Linked DNA regions of Coturnix japonica. The protein of the gene in region 3 binds, or shares a complex with, the protein of the main gene of each other region. Links are inferred from orthologs where the notes say so. Each region holds a gene or a part of one and is shown on either strand. Other genes may lie near its edges.

Region 1 (5,644 bases), on a different chromosome or scaffold from region 3:
TCAAGGAAGTTGCAGGGGACGATCCCTTTCTGCAGGGAAGAGACAAAGGGAACAGATGGTGTTAGTCGACCGTCCAGGAGATTGAAGGAATGATTTCTGTATGGCACCCCAAGATGGGCAGCAAGGGTGAACCAGCTCACTTTATTGCCTTGAGCACATGTGGTCAGGCAAACAAAGCAGCACATCTGGCCCCTGCCTGGTAGGAGCAACAGGAGCAGGACACCAGGAGGTTGCCTCTACCAGCTCATAGCCCCTCAAATAGGGGATGCAAGGAAACTGGGTTCAGAAACTCCTTCCAGGCCTCTGTAAATCTCCCTTTTGTGCCAGGCAGACCCCCTACCTTCCCATTGAACATCACCGTAGCCCAGTTGTCCTTCTCTTTCTTCAGGACAAAGACGATGTTTCCTGGCAGGACCTGCAGCTCCTCAGCAGTTTCAGGGATGAACTCATACAGGACACGGTGTGGCTGCCCTTCAAGAGCCCTGGGAATGGAAGCCAGCATCATGTCAGGAGCAGGGGGTGATGCTACTGTTCTACCTCATAGGGGGGCCTAAACTCTGCTCCTTTGTTTCTCTCCTCCTTTCCCCCCACTGGTTCTGAACACTCAGCTGGATGGTGCAGGACACGGCTGCACCAGGCTGCACATGTTTGCAATGCTGCCAATGTTTCATCCAACCTACCTGAGGATTTCTGGTGTCTTGGGCCTGGGTGGAGGCCCAGAGGCCTGTGAAGAAGACAGAAAGAAATCTGTCATAATCTGGAGGATTTGGGTTGCTTTGCAGAAATGTCCTGCAGTTCTTTCCCATGCCTGTGTGGGTCCCTCCTTCTCATGCTGGTATCAGGTCATCAGTTTCCTTCTCCACTCAGCCCTTATGAATCTCATGGGGAGGATTTGTCACCGCCCTGAGCTCCCTACCAAAACCACCACCCCACAATGGGGGCATGGGGTGCATTCTGAAGGCCTGGCTTCCCCATAACCTCTGCTCAGACATGAGTGGGCTTGGGCTGTGACCTCTGGTGAAGGAAGCAGCTGGGATGTGGGAGCAGCTTCTTCCTTACCCTGGCCGTGGTAGGAAGCTTGGCCTGGTGACACTGCTCTGTGTCACCACTGTCACCCCTTCCCTGTGTATGCTTGAAGCTCTTTGCACCATGTGGACTGCAGGGGGTTGGTTCCTTACCTGTGGCTGGAGGGGAGCAAATCCTGAAAAACTATCCTTGTCCACCACGGATGCCACCACCTACAGCCAAAGGAAGACATGCTGTGACCTGGTGCTTTTCTTACACCTCTGATCTCTCACATCCACTGTCCTCCTTTGCTGCCATCCAAGTCAACCTCGTCGGGTGTGGGTGCTCTGGGTTTGTCTCCAGCCTGCAGACACAGCTTGCATTAACGCTCCTTTCTTACCATGGCTTTTCCCAGGTAGTCTTTCTTCTCCAGCTGAGCAACTTGCTTTTCATTCGGTCGAAACAGCTTCCCTGTGGGAATTGCCACTGGCTCATAGAGCTGCTGCTTCTGTAGCAGGGAGAAATCATTAAGGTTGGAAAAGACTTTGAAGATCATCTAGTCACGGCCCTCCATAGGCAGGCACTGTGCTGAGACCTGCTGCTCCTCACCAGGATGGCTTCCATCGCCCTGTCAATCTTGTTGTGCTGGGGCTCACTCTTTGAGCTCATTGCCAGCGTCAGGTGCTCCTCAGCTTTCTTCCAGTCCTCCATGGTGGCATACACCAGCGCGATGTTGTAAAGGATCTGCAGAGGGATGGGAGCAAGGAAATGGTCTTTTAGAGGCACCAGACCCTTGCTGTGGGTGTTTTTTGCTACCCTAATGACATCCTTGCATCACACCAGCTCTCCATCCCCACCCTGGTGTGCCTGATTTATTTTGTAAGGCGTGAGTCATAGAATCCTTCATTTTGGAAAAGAGCTCTTAGATCACCAAATCCATCCCCGCCGTGCTCACTAACCACGACCCTCAATGCCACATCTCCACAGTTCTTGGACACCTCCAGGGATGGTGACTGCAGCACCTCCCTGGGCAGCTGTGCCACTGCATCACCACTCTTTGGAAGGAGAAATGTTCCTCATATCCAACCTGAATCTCCCCTGGTGCAATTTGAGGCCATTCCCTCTCATCCTATCACTGTTACCAGGAGCAGAGGCCGACCCCACCTCACCACAGCCTCCTTTCAGGCTCCTCCACACTGCCCCATCCCATTCCCTCAGCTGCTCCCCATCACACTGTGCTCCACACCCCACACAATTCCTTCTCTGGACATGATGAGCCCATTGAAACACCATTGGGTGAATTTCCCCTGGATTCTGTTGAGCCAGTGACCAAGACTGAAACACTATTTGGTTTCTCTCACCTCACAAGCAAAGAGCCTGTAGCGCAGCCCCAGGATCTTGTAGTCGATGAGCTGGTTGCCTCTCAGCTGGGCCAGAGCCTGCTTGAAATCCTTCATGGCCATTTCATGGCTGGGGAGGAGAGGACGAGGTAAGGCCTTGTGATGGTGTTGTGATACCCCGCATAAACACTTCACCTCAGGGCTGAATCCCTGGTACCCCACACTGCCCAAGGCCAACAGCTGAACGAGGGGTAAAACTGAGGTGCTGAAGCTTTGCACTCACTTGTGTCTCTTGTAGAAGACAGTTCCCCGCTGGAAATAGGCCACGGCCAAGTGCTTGTCACAGCTGATGCTCTGTGTGAATGCCTGTAGGGAGCAGGGCAAGAGGGGTGAGAAGGGAGAAGTGGGTGACAGCACTGCAGCACTGCGAGCTGTGCCTTACCTCCTGTGCGTCGGCCAGCTGCCCCAGGACCAGGTGGATGCAGCCAATGTTGAAGCAGATTTTGGCCGGTGGGTTCTGGACAGCAGTGAAGGCCTTCAGGGCTGCCCCCCACTCCTTGCCATCCGCTGCACACACTCCCTCTTGCCACAGCCGGATGGTCTCCACCAGCGACATTGTGGTGTGCCCAGCTGTGCCCAGCTGTGTTGGGTGCTCTCCTGCCCAGCCTTCCCTGCAGTGTGTGCCTTCCTTGTCCAGCTCCTCCCTGCTGCACGTCTGCCTGGTGTCACAGACCCACCAGGAAGTGGCCTCGGTGGCGTCAGAGCGGCACGGCCCTGAGATGGGGAAGTGGAGCTGCCCTGCCTCTACAGGCTTCCACTTGGGGCTGTACCTGCATTGCATCACGTCCTCCTTGGGTTGTGCTTCGGGGGGCTTCGTGTGGGGGTTGTCTGAGGAGAGAGATCAGCAGCTCCTCGTGTCACACATCTGCACCTCCACAAAGGGGAGTGCATCCATGGTGTGATGCTGCTCTGGGGGTGAGCAGGGCCATGTGATGTGCACAGTGCTCATTAGCTCACCGCCTCTTCCCGTTTCACTCAGCAGCAGCCAGCAGAACAGAGGCCTTCCCTCGCGTTCAGCTAACTGCAGAATTAAAGTCAGCTTCAAGATATCTCAGACTCCAGGTTAAATATTCAGTGACGATTTATTTGTCTCGTTTTTATTACAAAAAAACAAAGAAACCAACAAACAAAAAAAGCAGATATCAAAAAACAGCAAAGATTTCACAAGTCATCCAACCGTTTCACACAAACGGAACTGTTGTAAAATGGTCTCAGTCCTGGCCCTGACCTTCCGTGGTGAGCTGTGGGCTGGGATGCCCAATGCTTCCTTAATTCCTTTTTAATATACTCCTCTTTATATTGGAGCTTCTATTTGCCCACTTGCTAATGCAAGTACAGCAGGGATGTCAACTGTCTGCTAAGCCTTAATTCTACATCCCTTTACTTCTCCTGTGTAGGATCTTTAGCTCCAGTGTAAATGGACCTTTACATTCTAGCATACGGATGTACAGCTCCATCCTCGCTGTGATCTGCCTGCTGTGCACCTGGTCTATGACTGATCACAGCACATCCGGAACAGGCCACAAGGTGTGAGGTTAAGGACAATAGCTGGCTTCATGGAATGATGATCGGTCAGAAGGAAGCTGCTCTTTTCTGTCCTACTCACTGCTGTAGGCTCAGAGGTTGACCAAAGGAAACATGGTCCAGTTACCAACGTTAACAGCTGCCCCACTTCTCAAATCACACTGTTTGGCTGGCAAAAAGGATTAAGACATTGCCCTACGTCCCTCAGCACTTGCGTGGAAAGTCAGGCCCAAATCTGCCATGATTATACACAAATACGAATCACCCTAAATATGTTGTAAATGTAGCTATGCGTGTCACTGAAATGCTCGAGTACCAAAGAGTCCTGTTAGAAATAAAATTGCACCTTCATAGTTTTTCCAGAGTTGAACAAAAAGAGATCACGATATGCGTTACTTGTCAGGTATGAAAGAAGCAGCGAGAAGGCAAGCTGAGAGACAGGCGCTGCCCACAGGGCAGCAATGGCATCTGGTTGGGTTTTGCACCAGCATTTCCCACACCACGGAGAGCAAACAGCCCTTGGTTGCTGAGTTAAACCGTTTTCCTGGCGGTCAAAACACGGACGATAGACCCAACTCCACCAGCAGCCAGCGCCTGAGGAGAGAAACATGTTGAACTATGTTGGATTATTTTGTTTGCCCCAGTCTGACTAAAAAAAATTGTATAAATAAATCGAACTATAAATGCAGAATCATTACTCGAGGAATCAGAAGAATGAGGAAGAACAAGAGAATTCTGAGCGTGCAGGACAGTGCAGTCCTCACTGCAGGAAATGCAGCACTTGGCTGCTGGCACTCTGTGGCTATAGGCAACTCCAAGCTTTCAGAAGGGACAGGTGAGGAAGGAGGGGAGGCGTTCGCTCTCTATCATGGGAGGAATAGAGTGCCCCGCAAGAATGGCCACAATCAAGTTGAAAGCTTATGTGTGGTGCAGTCAACATGCCAAGGGACGGGATGTTGTTCAGAGAGACCTAGACAGGCTGAGCAATGAACAAGGAGAATCTTGTGGAGCTCAACAAATCCAAGTGCAAGGTCTTGCACATGAGTCATGACAACCCCCACTATTAGTGCAAGTTGATGGATAAAGGATAGAGCACAGCCATGATGGAAATGACTTGGGGGTTGTAGGGAAACTGTTAGGTCATGGCATGAATTGGTGATTGAGCTCCAGGTGAAGGGCTGTGGCTGGGCCAGGGAACACAAGCAAACTGTTTGCACCTGTACTTCCCATGTGACCAGAAGGGGTGAACCCACGGTGAATCCACCCTGGCTCATATAAGGGCCAGCCATGGAAGGATGAGCATCTCTTAGGCCTGCTTTGCTTCCTGAGGAGTGCTGTGTGCTCAGAGACTTTTCCACCAGGTGGGTGAGTTTAACTCTTCTTTCTTTATATGGCTGTTGTCCTACCTGCAAATTCTTTAGTGATGCTAAAGATGCTTTAGCCTGATATCACTAAGAACCTGTCTGAAACAATCCCTTCCAAATCAAATGATTCCATGATTCTGTGAACCTATTTTGGTTTGATGAGGCTCAGTTGAGTGTACCCAGGACCCAAGAACCTATTCACAAACAACCCAGGGGATGAGCACGTCCTATACACACACCTTCTCATGCCACTGCAGCAGCACAGCACTGCTGTTGTCAGAGGGGCTCTCAAAGCCTTTGTAGATGTACTTCATTAGCAGATCAACACCATTCTTATCCAGGGACTGGACT
Region 2 (5,458 bases), on a different chromosome or scaffold from region 3:
TCAGCCTGTCGTAATCCTCTTGTCCAGCAGTATCCCAAAGCCCCAGATTTACAGGCTTGCTGTCAACCATCACATTGGCAGAATAGTTATCAAACCTGAAATGCAGAGACATATTCTGAGGCTCAAAAAGTAGAAGAGGGATGAGGCAAAATTTTTTACTCTGCACATCTCATGACAAGAGGCAGATTCTTTTCTGTTGTTTCTGGTGTATTTTTTCATGTTTCATAAGGGAAACCAGTGACAGGAAGGAAGCAATGAAAAGACTTTTTGAACTTGCTCATGACACACGCTGCCATTGTGAGATAAGCCTTACTGCAAGGAGCACAAAATGGCCTCCTTTCATCATCTCCAACCACAAGTCTCAGGCATGAGGAGAAATGTTGTGCAGTCCACAAACACATGGCCATTTCACAGCCACTCCCAAGGAGGTGAGTAGATGGAGTAGACTCCATCTGCTACTTGTAAACTTGGCAGGCATGTAGACCCTTGGGTTAATTAATGTTTTCCAAGTGTTCCATTTATACTTTGGTTTTCTAAGTGCTTTTGGTGAAAGGTGAATGACAATCTGAAGTCATGTTGGTTTGGCTTCTCTTCCTCTACTGGTATGGGGGTTCACGACAGCATTCCTTTATAACCTGCTTTCCGTGCCTCCCACCCACCCCCAGACTGCAGATGTGTCACTCACACAGTGGGGATGTATTCTCCTGGGAAGGCATTGGTGGTGTAGCTGATGAGGAGACAGGTTTTCCCCACAGCTCTGGAAGAGAAATAAAAAACATAGCTGGGAACAATGGTAGTACAGGTAGTCTTACAGGGGTGAGATGGAGAAACCCTCCCATGACTCAAAGCTACAAGTTTGTTAGGAGAACTATGGAAGGATTATCACATTCACAAGACTAGATATCACATAGCCATAGATTTGACTGCCGGATGGAAGGAAGATATGCTGTCACCCAGAGCAGTCGGTTGTCTTTGAGCACAAAAGCTTGTTTTTATGGTCTGGTATGAAGACTGTTCAGTTAGACTACATCCAGGTGGGGATAAGAGCCCCTTTTCCAGTGTGTGCACAGTACTGCACACTCATAGCCAGGATAGCCTCACAGTGTCCTGGTGCAGAAATGTCAGAACTAAGCTTCCCAGCTGTCCGCAGCCTTGACAGTTTGCACCATCTATGAGCCACTGCAAGCTGCACTATCAACCTTACCAAGAGCTGCAAGCCACCAGTAAGGTGCCTCTCCTTGTGGCTGACTGAGGCTGCTCACACTTTTTTTGCGCATATAGCTGGTGCTTCCTCCTTCCTCAGCCTCTCCCACCCACACACCGCATCAGGGTGGAGAGAAATAAGTCAGGGTAGCAGCACAAGACAGAATGGGCAAGAGGACTGGTGGAGACACTCCATCTGGCCATGAAGCAGCCTCCAAGCTTTTCATCCATACCTGCAAAGTCTACTTTTGCAGAGCTGTGGCTCTGTGTGTTGGTGTGCCCTTGTCATGCACAGTTGGCATCTTTGCTCTGGTGGTGAGGCACTTGCCTCAGTCATCACACTGTGAAGCAGCTGAAGATGAAACAGTTCTTCAGCATGCTCTGATGCTTTTTTTTCTCTCTGCCACCTCCCATTCTTATATCCTCCTCACTGAGTTCCCTCTCTTTCCCCAGCTTCCCTCTTAGCTCTTGTTGTAGATGACCATGGAGGCTCACTCTATGCAGAACGGCTCAGAAGACCTGTGGTGCCAAGGGGGTGAGTTAGGCATGGAAAGGAGAGAAGGTTCTGAATTAGTGTGACTGAACTGAGAGGAGCACAAAGGGTCACCAAAGGGGTGAAGGTTATGGCAAAGCAGGTTCCTGTGATTGAACTCAGGGAGAGCTAAGAGGCAGGTGATATGTGATGGGGCTGGCTATGAGGCCAGAACAACTATGGGGGAACATGAGGGGTCAGTTAAGTGATGGCAGAAGGTCCTGTGGTCAGTAGGTTTGAGTTGGTGGAAAATGACAAGGCTGGTTTGGCTGAGAGGGAGATGAAGGGGGTGAAATAAAACCACAGAGCTCAGGGTGGTGACAACTAGTTGGAGGGTGGGGGAAGTGTACAGAGAAGCAGAATTATGGGGCAGACAAAAGATTTAGGAGGATTTCAGTCAGAAGGACGTGTAGTGGAGTCAGTGGTGTTATAAGGGGAATGCTGCCTTGAGGGGTGGTTACAAGAGTCAGCATAATATATGGAGGGCAACCCACAGGTTAACAGGACAACATATCAATGCCCAGTACTGTTGCTCTTCCAGCTCTAGCCTGTACCCTTTGGTGCACTTTTCCAAAATGTAACAATGTTTACACAGCACTGTCTCATTCCCTGTCTCTTCCTCCAACCCTGTTGCCCCAGCCTCTGAGAATATGTCTGACATCTATTGCTGTTTGCAAACTTCTTCCTCCATGGGGTAGATCTGAAGGAGGAAGTGACTGTGGGGAGCAGGGCTGCTGCAAATGTCTCTTCATCTGTTGCCTGATAGCTGTCCCAGATAACATTCTGGCCAGCTCCCAGCTAGGAAATGAATTAACCACCTCCATGCCTGATGACCTGCTCCCTGCTGGACTCTGCTCCCTTCATCCACTCATCCCACCCATCCACAGACCTTGTACCCCAGGTCCCCAGCACCACTGCCTTGCTTTTTGTCAGCTTAGATCGATTTCCAAAGGTCATGGGACATGGACAGTGCATGCTTCCAAGGGGTATAAACCTACACCCATCTCATTGCAATCCCTTTTTCCTTGCGCCCACAGAAGCCCATCACCAAATACTCTCCCCACACACTGAAAAATGGACAACACATTAAGAAAGGCTGAATGTGCAGATACTGGAGGATATCTCATCAGCACTATGGCTCTGCATCTTCCTTTGGCCAGCCCCAGTGAGCAGATGGCCTTCAAGGAGCCATTCCCCTGCAGCAGGGCGCTTGCACCTCTCAGATTTTCAATCTGACTCCTACCCATAGGTTGAATCTGGCAGTGATGCCACTGCCTTCTGTGTGTGAGCCAGATCTGCCAGGCCTGTGAGTGACAGTTCCACTTTTGCAAATGCCCTTCAAAGCACCCTCTTCTCCCCCCCCAGGCTCTTCAGAGCCAAGTTCCTTGCCATGGTGAAGAAAGAGGAGCAAGAAATGCAATGCAGAGCTGTAAGAGATAGGAAATGAAGCTGGGGAGGTCTCAGCAAGCAGCAACCTTCTTCCTCACCCCTCATCACCACTCCTCCCTCCCACAGAAAAAGAAGGGGATACATACCCATCTCCCACCACGACACACTTGATGGCTTGCATGTCCTTAGACCTGTGGTGGAGGACAGTGCCTGGGGCAAAGGAAAGTCAGGTCAAGGCAAACAGCCAGTAGACACGGGCAAATTTGGGTATCAGACCTTGAGCCGGAGCAAGGGGTCAGGTTGCAGGGAGGGAGGAAGTGGAAGAGGGAACTTCACTCAATCGCCCTCTGGTTCCTCCTCCCCTCCCACCGCAGCTCTGCAGTGAGGCCGTTAGCTGTAGGCGGAGCGTGCATGACTTTGTGGTTTGGGAGATTATTGCTGTAATTTTTTTCTTTTGCACCTCATGTCTCAACCCACTGCCTTCCTGCCCCATCCGAGCCAACATCTGGGGGCACCAAACTGCTTTTGCATGGGAGCTGAGGTAATGTTGGAGAAGGGTGAGAAACTGGAAGAGTGGGCTTTCCCCTCTCATCTGTAGCATACAGAGTTTGAAAGAGGTGTAAACAGGCAAGAGGACCTGCAGTGAGAGTAGCAAAGGACATGAGGCAATGAGGATTTCCCATGTCTTCCCTGTATCAAAAGGACAAGAGGTAATGGCCTCACGTTTCTCTGGGGAAAGTTCAGATTGAATATTAGGAAGAATTTCTTCTCAGGAAGAGCAGTGATGCAGTGGCACAGGCTGCCCAGGGAGGTGGTGCAGTCACCGTCCCTGGAGGTGTTCCAGAGCCGTGTGGATGTGGCACTGAGGACATGGTCGGTAGGTATGGTGGGGATGGGCTGGCAGTTTGATTGGGTGATCTTGGTCTTTCCAGCTCTAATGGGTCTATCCCTCAGTGTCAGTGGTGAAATAAGCAGTCTCTTGGAAGCAGCATCTACCCCATGGCTGCTTGTTCCACCACCCCTGGAGCAATAATGTCCTGTGCCTCCTCCTCATCTGCTCCTGAATTACTAGTACAAAGAAGCATTAGGTGTATCTATGTGTTTGTCATGAAGAGGAGTAAACATATCAGAGGATGTACTGAATTTTCTTTATCCAGCTGCTACTAGAAGAGCTAAGAATTGTGCAAGAGAGTCCCCACAAACCATTTTCTCTCTCTCCACTCTGTGCTAAAGCAGCCTATGAGAACTGCTGATAGGATATCCTTCATCTTGTCCTTGGGATTTTGAAGAGTTTTAGAGCTAAGCAACAAAGAGAGGGATGCAGTCACCTTCAGAAATAAGAGACATGGTGCTCTACTCCTTCCTTTCACTCCTCAGAATGAGAGTCTGAAGCTCCTCCTTACTTCCCCCAGCTTGCATTGCTATGCCTGGAAAAGAGCGCACATGTTCATGTCTTCAGCCTGAATTGATGGGTAGACAGATAGAGGCACACTTGAGAGAGGAAGGGATGCGGTGACGCAGAATTAATTAGAATTTCTAGGTCTGTCAGGAGGCCTGTTAGACCAAGAGCAGTGGGTGTTAAGCCAGCTTGTTCTTGAAAGAAGGAATGCCGAGGGAAACTGCTTTTCCAAAGGTTGGTGACCTTCGTGCTGCCACAGCCACAGGAGGTTTTTTGCAGTTGACCCATTCAGGTGTGTAGCACTTTCCTATCCGTCACTCAGTGTTGGCTGCAACCCAAAAACATTCAACCGTGGAAAGTTTCCAAGCCTCGCGGCTGTGTCAGAAGCATAAAACTACCAGATGTACTAGGTGTTCCCTCTGTGGGTGGTAGGGAAAGGGGGGGGGGAGGAAACCCACTGACTCCTTTGCAAGAGCAGGAATGGGATGTGGAAATGCAGAGAATATGGGTCAGGAAGGACAGAAGGGAGAGTCACAAAGGCTGCTATAGGGACAGCAGCGGTAGGAAATGGAAAGGGCAGACAGCTGCAGAAATATGGTTGAGGTAGAGACTCAGTGGGAATAGAAGGCAGCTATATGTGGTTCTAGAGAATGATACTGGTGGAAGAAAAATGCCCAACATTTACAGCTTGAATGAGGCCAGTGATATTCAAATGAAGCATTGCTGGTAGAGCTGGTAGTGTGCCACATTCGAACCCCAGATTCTATCCTAGGAAGTGTCAGAGTATATCTGCAGTCCATGCACAGATGGCTGCAGCTGCACTGCAAAGCCTCCTGTGGGCAGTTTGTTGGTAAAAGGGACACAACTACCCAAGAGAAATTCTGAGCTTGACATTAGTCCATTTGTCAGAAAGGTTTGAAAAGCTGTGTCGCATC
Region 3 (5,168 bases):
CAAGCAGTGCTGTGCTGTGCCAGGCAGTGCTGATGGGCAGCAAGCAGTGCCATGCCATGCTATGCCATGCCATGCCATGCCATACTAAGTGGGTCCATGCCATGCCATACCATGTTGTGCCATGCCATGCCATGCTATGCTGTGCCATGCCATGCCATACTAAGTGGTACCATGCCATGCCATGCCAAGTGGCACTGAGCACAGTGGCACCGTGCCATGCCAAGCATTGCTTCACCTCTCCCATCTGTTGCAGGGGGGAAGCGTGACACCGAGCTCATCCTGCCCATCAACTCCTCTCTCAGCGTCACGCTGCACCAGGACCAGGTTGGTGCCCACCTCAAACCCTGGGGATCCCATATCCCCACCCTCAGGGCTGTGTGCCCCCCCCCATGAGCTCAGTGCCATCCCATACAGCTGAGGACCACAACCACGGCTGCTGCCTGCCGTGACTTCACCGAGGACCGGCTGTGGCTGAATGGAGAGGAGGTGGATGCGGCACAGCCCCGGCTGCAGGCCTGTCTGAGGGAGGGTGAGCTGGGCTGGGGGCTGGGGGGGCACAGAGCCGTGTCCTTTGCTTCCCTATAACCCCATCCCTGCACAGTGCGGCGCTTGGCCCGTAAGAGACGCGGTGACGACGCTGCAGCCCCGCTCAGCCTGTCCTACAAAGTGCACGTCGCCTCCGAGAACAACTTCCCCACCGCTGCTGGGTTGGCATCCTCAGCTGCTGGCTACGCCTGCCTGGGTGGGTATGGGGGGCAGCAATGGGGTGGGGGGTGATGGGGACGCTGTGACCATAACGCTGTTATCCCTGCAGTGTCGGTGCTGGCACGGCTCTATGGTGTGGAGGGGGAGCTGTCGGAGGTGGCACGGCGTGGGTCGGGCAGCGCGTGTCGCAGTATGTTGGGGGGCTTCGTACAATGGAACCGTGGGGAGAGGCCGGATGGTAGAGACAGCGTGGCACAGCAGCTGGCACCTGAGACACACTGGCCGGAGCTGAGTGTCCTCGTGCTGGTGGTGAGGGATGGGGTTGATGCTGGGGGTGGGAGGTGGACGCCTTGTAGGGTGCCCCATGTCTTGTGTTCTGGTGTAGGTCAGCGGGGAGAAGAAGGCGGTGGGCAGCACGGCGGGGATGCAGACCAGTGTGGACACCAGCCCCCTGCTGAAGGTGGGTTGGATGGTTGGTGATGAGCAGCACAGGCTGCATGGGGAGGTGGGGAGGTGTCGGGGTGTGAGCATGGTGGGATGGGTTGGGTTTGGGGATCATGGCCACCTCCTCCAATGGCTGAGTACTGAGGGGCCATGGGAAGTGAATCCTATGGGATCCATGAGATGACCCCCCCCTGGTGCTGCCCCTATAGTACCGTGCTGAGGTGGTGGTGCCGGAGCGCATGACCCGCATGGCTCGCTGCATCCAGGATCGAGACTTTGAGACCTTTGGCCAGCTGACCATGCAGGACAGCAACCAGTTCCACGCCACCTGCCTCGACACCTTCCCCCCCATCTTCTACCTCAATGACATCTCGCGGCGCATCATCGCCCTGGTGCATCGCTTCAATGCCCACCATGGGTGCACCAAGGTAGGGCAGCCCCCCCCCTATGGCCCCGTCCTGCTGGCACTGCACCCCTCTCACTGTGTCCCTGTCCCCAGGTGGCCTATACCTTCGATGCTGGCCCCAATGCGGTCGTCTTCATGCTGGAGGATACAGTGGATGAGTTTGTGGAGGTGGTGAGGCGCAGCTTCCCACCCAGCTCCAATGGGGACCAGTAAGGGTGTTGTCATTTGGGACTGGGGGGGTGGGAATGGGGATGGGGACATTTGGGTGGGAATGGGGATGGAGATGATGGCTATAGGCACTGGTGGGATGGCGATAGGGATGGAGATGTGGACGGGGACTGGTGGGATGGGGATGGGGATGGAACCATGGGACATGGGGTGGGGTTGGGGACATCTGGGTGCCATCCCTGCTGCAGGTTCCTTCGAGGCCGACCCGTTGGCACAGCGGTGCTGCCAGAGGAGCTGCTGTCAGCCGTGGTGATGGATCCGGTACCAGGGGCCATTCGTTACATCCTACACACCAAGGTATGGGAGGTGGGGGTGGTCCTGAGCCTCCTGCTCCGTGCTGTCCCCTAACACATCTCCTGTCCCCACAGCCTGGCCCTGGCCCACAGCTCCTGGATGCCCCCAGCCAGCATCTACTGGGCCCCGATGGGCTGCCATGCCACTCTGCCTGAGAACAGGGGACACCGTGATGGGGACACCGTGATGGGGACACCATTGGGGACAGCAGGGATGCCCAATGGGGGCTGCCCCTGGGGGGCACACAGGCAGGGACCCACCGTCCCATTGCCTGCATTGGGGCTGTGAGATGCTGTGCTCATCTGTCCCCATCCCGACCCAGATGTGGCTCCTCCCATTGCCTGGTTTTTACTCTTTTCTAATCAAATAATAGAGGTTTTCCAGCCGCAGTGCTGCTCTGAGTCCCGAGTCGCTCCGTGGTCCCCATTAGGGCTGCTCCTGCCCCATGTCACCCTATATATTCCCATGTCACCCTATATATTCCCATGTCACCCTATATATTCCCGTATCACCCCGTGTCCCCCTACGGCCCGGCTCTTCGTGGGGGCGTGTCTTTGTAATGAATGGGCGTGGGTTACTCGAAGGGGCGTCGCTTAAGGAGGGGAAGGGGTTCGGCTGTTCGGCTCCATCGCTGCCTTCCGGGTCGGGTTGGGCCGAGCCCGAACTAAGGCTGAGCTCGAACCATGGGGCAGATCGAATGGGCCATGTGGGCCAACGAACAGGCGCTGGCGGCGGGGCTGAGTGAGTGCGGGGGGGAGATGGGGAGTTAAAGGGGCTGGGTGATGGGGGGAGGGTCAAAGGGTCCCATGTGGGATGGGGATGCAGGGATGGGGGTGAGGATATGGGGAAGGGAGTTCAGGGCTGGGGGTGTAGGGTTGAGAATGTGAGGCTATAGATACGGGATATGGGGAGAGACCCCTGGCTGTGTTCCCCCCCGACCCCCCCATCCCGTTTTGGCCCAACCCCGCCCGGAGATGGAGGAAGTGAGCGGCGATGAGGACGCGGAAGCGCTGCCGGAGCGTATCACCAACATCGTGTGTCACCGTGGGTCTCCCCCCCGCTGCCCCCCAGCCCGGCCGCTATAGGGTTTAACCCCCAACCCCCCGCCCCGTTCCCTGTTTGGGCTCGTGGGGGTCCCACGCGAAGCATCCCCCGCTGTTAATAGCCGGGATGCCAGCAGTGTCCCCGCTGTCCCGCAGTCATGCTGACCGGAGGGATCGTGGCGGTGGCGGGGCAGTTCAAGGGCTGGTACTTCGCAGCTTACGCCATGTATCCTTATGGGGCTCGGGGTGGGAGGGGGCACCTTATTCTGTGCAGGCGGGGAGGGGGGGGGGGGGGTCCCTCATCTCCCTCTCTGTGGCCCCACATCGCTCTATTCCTGCCCCTTTCCCTATGGAGCTGCCCCCCAACCCTGGCCCCATTTCTGCCCCATTCCCTGTGGGGTCTCACCCCCACCCTTGGCTCCAAACCCCCCTTTTCCTTGACCCCCATCCCCCTGCAGTGCTGCAGGCGCCTTCGTCTGCCTGTTGGAATACCCACGCAGCAAGAGGCAGAAGGGCTCCACCATGGAGCGCTGGTGAGTGATGGGGTGCTATTGGGGTGCCTATATATATTTAGGGGGGGGGTCTTTTGGGGCCGGGTGCCCCCCTGACTCTGCATATTGCCCCATAGTGGCCAGAAGTACATGACAGCAGTGCTGAAGGTGTTTGGACCGCTCACCCGGAACTATTACATCCGTGCCATCCTGCACGCAGCGTGAGTGGGGTTGGGGCTGGGGGGTGAACCTGAACCCCCCCCCCTTTTAACCTTCCCCTGTACCCTCAGGCTGGCCGTCCCTGCTGGCTTCCTGCTCTCCACCATCCTGGGCACCGTCTGTTTGGGCATTGCCAGTGGCATCTACCTGCTGGTGAGCTCCTCTGGGGGGGTAATGGGGGCTGATTATGGGGCTGAAGGAGGGGGCTCCCTGCTGACTGCTCCCCCCTGGCCCTGCAGGCAGCGGTGCGTGGGGAGGAATGGCGACCCATTGAGCAGAAGCCCCGCGAGCGGCCGCACATGGGGGACACCATCAAACAGCCCCCCAGCAACCCCCCACCCCGACCCCCTGCTGATGCACGCAGGAAACAGGCAGCAGAAGTGGGGGGGCAGGTGAACCCCATCCCTGTAGAGGCTGAGTAACACGGAGCTGGGGGTCCCAGTGCTGCACTCACTTCCCTACTGTACCCCTCACCCCCCCATTGGTCCCCAGACCCCTAGGGGTGCTCATCTCCCCTCCTTCCCCCCCCTTGGTTCCTCAGAATCCCTGGGGGCTGCTCAGGTGCCCCCATATCCCAAGGAGCTCCCCCAGCCTCACAGCCCCATTGTGGGCTCACGCAGCTCTGCTTGCTGCGCCACCTCTTCACGTTTTATACATTGTCTTTTTTCTTTTCTGGTTGCTTTTTGCAATAAAAGGACCGAAAGGCCCCAGATCCTTCCTGATCACACCCCATTCATGTGCCCTGGGTGTGAGTTGGGAGCTCAGTGCCCAAATCTTTAGTGACCCCAGCGATGGGACAGACCTGCAGTGGTTAGGGTTAGGGTACCCAGAGGTGACACCCCCAGCCCCATATCCCCTCTCCCCCCACCTCCAGCACCCATGGGTGCTCTAAAAGCATATGGAACAACCCCGGTAGGTGGCGCTGAGTCCATGGGATGTGAGTGCTTGGGGCAGAGCTGTGAGAAAGGAGTGGGTGGTGACAGGGTGCTGGCATGGGGCCGCCCCCATTCCCCCCCCTTCCCTCCCCATTGCCTCCCCCTTCCCCTGGGTGTGCTTTGGGGATGGGAGATGCCCCCCAGCATCCACTGGGGTGGCTGGGATGGGGGTTCCCAATGCACCTCTATCCCCGCATCCTTGGCACCTCCCCTCCAGCATCCACAGGGGGACCCTGTGCACCTCAACCCTTTGCCCTCCCATTTATCCCAGTGTGGCACATTGTGGGGTCAGGCTTTTATTTTCAGGCTGGCGTTCAGTAGCACATGGAGGTCTCAATAAATAGCACTGAGGGGGAATAAATAACTGGGGAGGGCTAAGGCAGAGCCCAGGGCTGCTGCCTTA

Evidence for each region. The genes of interacting proteins can lie anywhere in the genome.
Region 1: cytochrome b-245 light chain (region 3) and NCF2 share a complex: the UniProt entries of both Homo sapiens proteins name them as parts of the phagocyte NADPH oxidase complex. The link is inferred for Coturnix japonica from reciprocal best matches to the Homo sapiens genes CYBA and NCF2.
Region 2: cytochrome b-245 light chain (region 3) and RAC2 share a complex: the UniProt entries of both Homo sapiens proteins name them as parts of the phagocyte NADPH oxidase complex. The link is inferred for Coturnix japonica from reciprocal best matches to the Homo sapiens genes CYBA and RAC2.

Annotation. Positions count from the first base shown.
Region 1 is NC_029523.1:4,316,353-4,321,996, reverse strand, and holds the start of NCF2 (neutrophil cytosol factor 2), read right to left. Parts: upstream 3,480-5,644; 5' UTR 3,363-3,479; intron 3,354-3,362; exon of another isoform or gene 3,234-3,353; 5' UTR 3,187-3,233; coding exon 2,788-3,186; intron 2,712-2,787; coding exon 2,629-2,711; intron 2,476-2,628; coding exon 2,367-2,475; intron 1,750-2,366; coding exon 1,615-1,749; intron 1,514-1,614; coding exon 1,406-1,513; intron 1,239-1,405; coding exon 1,179-1,238; intron 725-1,178; coding exon 681-724; intron 483-680; coding exon 341-482; intron 30-340; coding exon 1-29. Other genes in the region: ARPC5 (actin-related protein 2/3 complex subunit 5), read right to left, coding at 4,461-4,523, 5,533-5,644. UniProt on the Homo sapiens protein: Subunit of the phagocyte NADPH oxidase complex that mediates the transfer of electrons from cytosolic NADPH to O2 to produce the superoxide anion (O2(-)).
Region 2 is NC_029516.1:46,919,520-46,924,977, reverse strand, and holds the start of RAC2 (ras-related C3 botulinum toxin substrate 2), read right to left. Parts: upstream 3,480-5,458; 5' UTR 3,306-3,479; coding exon 3,271-3,305; intron 758-3,270; coding exon 686-757; intron 96-685; coding exon 1-95. UniProt on the Homo sapiens protein: Plasma membrane-associated small GTPase which cycles between an active GTP-bound and inactive GDP-bound state.
Region 3 is NC_029526.1:16,406,145-16,411,312, reverse strand, and holds cytochrome b-245 light chain, read left to right. Parts: upstream 1-2,505; 5' UTR 2,506-2,522; coding exon 2,523-2,818; intron 2,819-3,276; coding exon of another isoform or gene 3,277-3,346; intron 3,347-3,578; coding exon 3,579-3,653; intron 3,654-3,748; coding exon 3,749-3,832; intron 3,833-3,901; coding exon 3,902-3,983; intron 3,984-4,069; coding exon 4,070-4,252; 3' UTR 4,253-4,547; downstream 4,548-5,168. Other genes in the region: MVD (diphosphomevalonate decarboxylase), read left to right, coding at 254-324, 415-529, 602-742, 815-1,014, 1,091-1,165, 1,359-1,577, 1,649-1,764, 1,972-2,080 and 1 more. UniProt on the Homo sapiens protein: Subunit of NADPH oxidase complexes that is required for the NADPH oxidase activity that generates, in various cell types, superoxide from molecular oxygen utilizing NADPH as an electron donor.